Linked DNA regions of Xenopus tropicalis. The protein of the gene in region 2 purifies or fractionates together with the protein of the main gene of each other region. This does not show direct contact. Links are inferred from orthologs where the notes say so. Each region holds a gene or a part of one and is shown on either strand. Other genes may lie near its edges.

Evidence for each region.
Region 1: the proteins of pip4k2a (region 2) and ube2h purify together in Homo sapiens (affinity purification with mass spectrometry; 3 studies listed by BioGRID and IntAct, with this or other methods). This does not show direct contact. The link is inferred for Xenopus tropicalis from reciprocal best matches to the Homo sapiens genes PIP4K2A and UBE2H.

Annotation. Positions count from the first base shown.
Region 1 is NC_030679.2:86,976,060-86,980,407, reverse strand, and holds the start of ube2h (ubiquitin-conjugating enzyme E2 H), read right to left. Parts: upstream 3,106-4,348; 5' UTR 2,860-3,105; coding exon 2,807-2,859; intron 1-2,806. UniProt on the Homo sapiens protein: Accepts ubiquitin from the E1 complex and catalyzes its covalent attachment to other proteins. E2 ubiquitin conjugating enzyme that transfers ubiquitin to MAEA, a core component of the CTLH E3 ubiquitin-protein ligase complex.
Region 2 is NC_030682.2:26,688,953-26,692,157, reverse strand, and holds the end of pip4k2a (phosphatidylinositol 5-phosphate 4-kinase type-2 alpha), read right to left. Parts: intron 2,964-3,205; coding exon 2,860-2,963; intron 1,478-2,859; coding exon 1,397-1,477; 3' UTR 633-1,396; downstream 1-632. UniProt on the Homo sapiens protein: Catalyzes the phosphorylation of phosphatidylinositol 5-phosphate (PtdIns5P) on the fourth hydroxyl of the myo-inositol ring, to form phosphatidylinositol 4,5-bisphosphate (PtdIns(4,5)P2). Has both ATP- and GTP-dependent kinase activities.

The DNA.
Region 1 (4,348 bases), on a different chromosome or scaffold from region 2:
TTTAGTCGTTCCTTCCCTCTCCCTTCTTCCGGGTAGTAACAGGGCAGCCAATCACATGGCAGAAATCTGACAAAACAAGCAGCTCAGCACTCCTGCTCCACTCTAGTAATATGCAACAGTTTAATAAGGAAGTTAAGGGAGAGGGGGAAGGGTCTTTTTCTAATCTCTTTCAACTTTACACATACTCTAGATATAGGACACTTTCTTCTTAAAAAAAAAAAAAAAGTACAATAGGCCTTCTGCTATACGGCTAGGAACAGCTATGATTTATTTTGGCAGAATGCCTTAGCCTCACAAAAAAAAAACCAAAACACAGTGTTATGACTGATATGCTGTTTTGGAATTGTATACAATAGGTTACATTCCCCACCCCCCATTTTTATTATTAGTTCTCAAACATGTATAATTGAGCTGGTTAACTCTAAGACAGCCCAATAAAGGATGAAAGCAAAAGGTCAGGGTGAACGTAAGGTAAATGCAAGATTGTTTTGTACTAGGAAAAATATATTTTTAACCACACATAAAGACAAACTGAGAGCAATAAAAAAGCGTACACCTATATAAATGGCCTGTTACACAGATTGCCAGTATAGTTTCAGTGGTACACTTAAATGCAGTGCCACTTGTGGCCCTCTAGATTTTGTGGGCCTCTGGGTTTACAGAACAGGCATTGGGCTTTCTGACATTCCTACCAAACTTTAGTTACAGTAATAACAAAGAAGCAGAGTGGATGCGGGGTGCCCATTAACCTGCCCTCTGCTCCCACCCACCCCTCAAACAACACTCCCTTTCACTACTCATGTCTGAGCGTTAATGTCATAACCACACAACAAAATCCCCTAGTGTCCCACCCTACACAAGGAAATTACATGGGCTAGGAGGGAACTTATGGGACAAAAACAAACGCAAAAAACAGGGAGGAGAAGAAAAACAGAAGAGCTCAGCTGTGCTATGAAGGCTTTCCCCTAACAACCCCCTTAATACCACTGGAACCCAACAGTCCGATCAGTTGCTAGGACATTTATACATTTTACTTGTTAACCTATATATTGTTATGGGACCTAAAACACACAACATAACATTGTCAGCATGAGGGTTACTTTAACTGTATCTAAATAATTGTTAAATACTTATAGGCTGAAAGAAATGTATTCCTGTAAAAAAAAAAAATCTGTCTCCAGGGTTTTAGCCAGTTAACCCCTTGTATGCTAAAGGCCTGCAATGCAGACCTGACATCTCCAATCAGGAGATCAGGATTGTAGGTGTTCCTTTAATGCAGCTATACAAAACCTGTCAGATTAAAACAGACACAACAGATGATGTTCCCAACTTTATAAAATACATACATTACCCTGCCTTTAAGTCACCTGCGCTCAGACCAAAGTATTTAATGTCCTGCAACAAATAAATGCTGGTAAAAACCATGGCATTCACTTCAATTAGGGCCATTGTAGCAAATGTTAAAAAGCTGCTGGCTGCCTGTGCCTACCATTCTCTATTTATGGAAGCATAAGGCAGCATGAAACCTTTAAGACTGCAGTCTTTTGTCTGTTCTCTTACAATAAAAACGACAAGTAGAAAAAGATTGCAAAGATCCCTTTGTTTTGACTAGGCACATAAACAGGACTGGGGTACACAAATGCTTGCGTAAGCTCTTACTTAGTACAGAGATGTTCCATGAACAATGCCCCCATGAAAATTATTTGCAGTCTAATGAAAAACCCACTTGTTTGTTAAAGCTCAATAGGTGCAAAGAAACAGAATGATTATTGAGTACAGGCTTGCCCAAAATGCATCCCACAGCCTGTGTTATTCTACTACATATTCCAGTATCACCATAAAATCCCCAAACAGCCTAAGGCTGTCAGTGGGTGCTAGGAGTTAGGATTTAACTAAACAGGTTAAGCATTCCTGTTGTAAATAACCTTGACCAGTGACAGGGGGGAATTGGTAATTTGTTGTTACACAAATAAAACAAAACGAAAAATAACATCATCTTTTCCCTGTCTAACTAGACACAAACAACAAAATCCTCCTTGTCTGCACCCCCTCCTCCCTGTGTGAGGCCTTAACTGTACTGACACTGAAAATACACACACGTATCTATATACCTAAATTCCTACAGGCCTATTAGAGTTGTACAAAACAAACTACACAATGATACTTTAGTTATATGTGAACTACTGAGTTACAAATACAATACACCTTTTCTTAATTCATTTATCATTATTTTATTATATAAAAAAAAAAAACACAGCTGACCAGTGGCCCTTCAGCTGAAACTCATATAGCCCAACAGGCTTCAACTGCCACCAGCTCAAGAACAGCTGGAGGGCCTGTGGGTTAGGAAAGACATGCCTGCCAACAGATCAATAACAAAGGATTTAATCAAAATAGATCATTCTCATCAAAGACAGTATATCTTAGTAGCAACTGTGCCTATATGTGGCATTCTTTGTTTCAGAGAAATATAGGGATGCTTTTCCTTATGTAAGTCACTTTATTTTATGTTTCTGTTAATAGCTGATGTACAAAGATCTCTTTATACAAGGATATGCCCCTTTACTACCTTCTAGGCAAGGAACACGGATAAGCACAGTAATGGCACTACACAATTAAGATACTTACATGTATCTAGAAGGGGCAGAATAGTGTGAACATTGTTTTGCCCCATTTCAATGCTCCATATCCATCCAAAACATGGGCCCCAGAGTTACATACTGAGTGTACCTGACAAATGACTGTCAAGCACCCACTTATAGTATATGTAACCTATACCCCAATAATTTGTCGTCAGGAAGGATACAGTTTAACTACATCGGTGTCCATCCGCCTCTTTCCCGGGCTGGGAGATGACATGTCTGCAGCTCCCCCCCGGGGGACTCTTCGGCAGCAAAGCACTCAGGACTGTAAGCAATTGACTGGGAGAACTGACGGCGGATTCGCCTCCCTCCTCCGGGCCTTGTTTGTCCGGTTGCCCTTAATAAATACGGCGGGGGCCTAACCTAGATTAGCCTTAGGTTGCCCCCCAAACCCAGCTTCCAGACACTGTCGCCGCCTTCTTATACCGGAGAGTGCCTTAGCATAAAAAGTAGTATAACCGACTAAACGTCTCAGTCACGTGACCTCACAGATAGTGACGCGCCGGCCGCGGAGGAAGACTTAAAAAACAGAAAAGAGAGGTGGAGCCACACCGCAGAAGGCGGAGCAATCGACATGCGGTCTAAGCCTCGCTGTGGGTTGTTGAAACCACCCGACCGCTATATAAGGGCCGGTAATCAGATTGTCAATCTTTTATTTAGCCGCGCCCACTGGCGAATATATACGGTTTAGTGCATAGACTTCTGGGAGTTGTAGTCTTTATGTCTCCCTAATATGATATTAGACATACGTGAGATAGGGAGACTAAGTATAGGTTGCGAGTGAAAGGGATACTGGATTTTTTTTTTCTTTTTTGGGAGGGGGCGAGGGAGGATGTCCAAAAATGTACACAGTACAAGTGAAGTTTGACGTGTCACAGCAATAGTAATGTCTGAGCTTTAGCTGTTGCCAACCTGCTCGGTGCTTTTATGCTGACATCCTGCAACGTAGATGAAGGGCTGTGATTGACAAATAACATGTGTAACGCTGCATATGGTGTAACGTTCTAGAAACATGAATTGCTGGGAGTATCGGTTTTCTTTGTTAGTAGTATTGGGGGCTGGTAATAACTGTGTCTGCTTGTAATGCTTTGTATGCGCTGGAGCTATCTATCTATGTATATATATATATATATATATACACACACACACACACACACACACACACACACATATATTTATATATATCTCCAGTGCGCACACAGCATTACAAGTAGACATGGTTCCATGGTGAGCATTTATTTGCAAAAATGTAAAATATTTTAATATAACATTATTTATTCATTTTGACAGTTTTACAAATGTGCACTCATATTAACTCACAAGGATCTTTCTCCCTGTTTTGCACCCCTCAGTGGTAGTAAAACAGCCCAGTATTCCCCTCCCTGTACTTTGTGGCTGATTTAATGTTAAGCCCCACCCCTGAAAACACACCTGAATATCAGGCACCCAAAATATAAACCTAATGGGTTTGCATCACCGAACATGTATTAAAACGATTAAGTCTTTATATTCTTAATGGATGTTGGTTTATAATTATGTAGGGACCCATAGGGTTAAGCTCCCCTATGGCTTTAATTCCCTACCTCTTCCTGATTTGCACTGTTACTGGGCAAACCCTTTGTATCAGTTTACAGTTATACCTTATACTTTATTGATCTATGTGGCTGTTCACACCCCTTGCAGTCTGATATAGTGTCTAGCAAGGA
Region 2 (3,205 bases):
TTTTTGTTGCCCAAGGGGGAACGTGATTTTCCATGGTCAACAAAGCTTTGTTTTCCATTACCTTTTGGGCCCTGCCCTGAAGTCCATGAAGCGCCCATTAATACCTACCCATTTACATTACTTGAAATCACCACATGTAAAACACATTACGTGTGGTGATTCTTGTTAATCACCCAAAAATGCAAAAGGCGGCCTTGTTAAGTGATTACTGAGGATCGACATATGTAACGTATTTTACTTGAATCATTTATAAGTCATGAGAACAGGCAGGTAATGTCAGGCACTTTATCATCCGCATGAGAGGAGATTTCCCACCAGACAATGAAGCGCCCTGTGTGACAGTGCCCATAAGATGGAGCAACACTATTAACTACAGACTAAGGACAAATCCCAGCGACTCACAAGGGCAGATAAAGGGAGCTGCAGTTTGACAGCACGTTTAGGGCCAAGGACTGGACACTGGAAAGTGAAACAGGCTGGAAACCCGGCTTTGGATGCTGCAAAGCAATTAAACCAATCATTACTAAAATATTGCCCACAACTGTGTAAGTCAGCGAGCAGAGCTCTTTCCTGTGTTGATAAACTACACTGTACGGCAACCTGTTTAAGACAAAAAGTTATCCGAGTCATAGTGAAGTGCAGATTTTTTTGTGGCAGACAAGAACATGACATAGAGGCAGAAATATTATGGCATCATTGATTCCAAGGTGCAGATATAAACTGGAGCCTTTTTGGGTGCCAAAGCCGGGGCAACATGTTACTTCTTTGGCACTCAAAGAGCATTGAGCGCTGGGGGACTGTGACTCTTGTCCATGATCCTTGTCAGCATCCCGAGTCCTGCAATGAACAGCGTCATATGATACATACTGCCTATGTCCCGCTGACAGCAACGGTTTGCAAAAATAAAAACATAGCGCTTCTCAGGTGATTTTCATGAATACTGCCTTGCCCCTCTAAGTTAAAAAAAAAAACCAAATAATAAAATAAAAATAAACTGATCTACAGTTTACGTCTTGACGTCGCTTCAATCCTTTTCCAGCCAGAAGGGCAGAGAAAGCATGCAGGCTGCTTCGTCTGACCCCACCACTCTGCTCTCCATTTTTTTTGCTGGCAATAGTATCTGTGCATTATTTCCGCATAGCTGTCAAAGCTTTCCTTCTTTATTGAGACACAAAAGAGTTAGAAAGGAAAAAAAAAAATCTAGGGCTATGCCAGGCAGCGAAGTCTGTGATCCCTAGGCGTACCATCTTTGCCAGAAGATGTCATATTACAAGGGGCGGAGGAGTGATCCCCGCAGGGGAAGCATTAAGTAACAGCAAGTTCTGTTGGCCTCTCTATCCATGCTGTATCCATAGCTGTCCTCTCTTCTATGAGCTTCCATTGCCGGCAGGTGAGGCTACGTCAGAATATTATTAATAAAGTCCAAGAAACGCTTAGAATACTGCTCCGGGTTAACGGTGGAAATTTCTGCACCAGCCTGTAGAAGGGAAAGAGAGAGAAAATAGAGTTAACACAGTGGCATTGTTACTTGCACCCAAGTATCAGCCTGGCACCAATGTGGCAGCTCTGGGGGATAAAGGATTCCCATTGCCTTTTATACGAGGGTGGGTCAGCATAGTATGAGCGCAATTACACATGCCAAATTGCATAGTCCTCCAAGAGCAACGTAAAATGGCTGACTGTCACATCTGGCTGAGCAGCAACATAATGCCCAACTGTCAATTACAGCTTCCCTGGCACTAAGACCTAGCACTAATAGCAAGTAGGAAAATGTCAGTAATGCTAAAATAAAAGGCTGGATTGGTGACTGTTATGGGATCAGACCGTGCAGTTTGCTGTAGCTGCCTGCCAAGATGTAATAAAAAGATGGTGCTTTGAATTTTTAGGGCACTGGCACACTGGTTGATTTTAGGATTTTCGCGCCCAAACAAGCAGACAAGCCTACCCCCAATGTAACCTAAAAGTATGGCCTGGAAATTATGGGGCTAGTGCTTATATAATGCCCACAATCAAACTGCCTGCCCCAGGGAAATACAATATGTTATCAGCACTCATAATAGCCAGACAGCAGATACACTTGTTTTTAGTATGTTATACAAAGTTCTGTTCTTTGCAACTTTTCAATTGGTTTTAATTTTTTCATAGTTTTTGAATTTTTTTGCCTTCCTCTTCTGACTCTTTCCAGCTTCTTAATGGGGGTCACTGACCCCAGCAGTCAAAAAACTATACCTCTGTGAGGCTACAATTTTCTTGTTATTGTTACATATTATTATTTATCTTCTTTATTTAGACCCTGGTCTATTCATAACTCTGTCTTCTCTTTCAAACCACTTGCTAGGTTAAATTGGGCCATAGCAATCATCAGCTGCTGAAATTTCAAACTTTAGAGCTGCAGAACAAAAACCTATACAATTCAGAAACTGCAAACAAACCGCAACAAATGAAGACCAACTGCAAATTATCTCAGAAAAGCAATTGCTACATCATATTAAATAAATAAAAACCTTGGCAGCCATAAGCAACACAAGCAAATAGAACAAAAGCACCTGGGGGTCACAGCTAGGAGGCCTCACCTCCCACCTTTCTTCATGTAATAAATAGCAAAAAAGCTCAAACTGGATGAAGACGCAGCACTGCATTTTTTATATGTTCCCCAACTTCATTTTCCTACTCACCTGGGTTTCTGCATGACTTCTGGTCTTGAGACTATAGACTGGCCATGCAATCTGCCCCCTCATGCAGCATGGAAGGAAACCCCACCTGGAATCTACTGCCCACTACCCTTTACCCAGCCTATGGCCCTGCCCCATTATATACTTATTTTAGTTTCCACCACCAGATGGGGAATCATATACTTACACCATGTTTAACTGTTTTCGCTGCATGAGCTGCTTTCTTTTTTGCATCATAGTGTGTTAATATGTCAATAATAGCCATGAAATAAACTTCTTTCCTTGGGGCATCTGTGAACAGACAAGGGAGAGTCAGACACAATCACTAATAATAAGAATAGATAAATAATAAGAAGAATGGCAGCTGTGAGGGGTTTTGTAGGCAGAACACAGAGGAGCTTATAAGCGGACAAGCTATCAGTATGATACAGCTATGTGCTAACAAAGTTATGAGCAATGGCATATATACATATAATTCAAAGAAGATACAATTAAGCAGCAGGCCATGAGCAAACTACATTATTGCTAGTAAT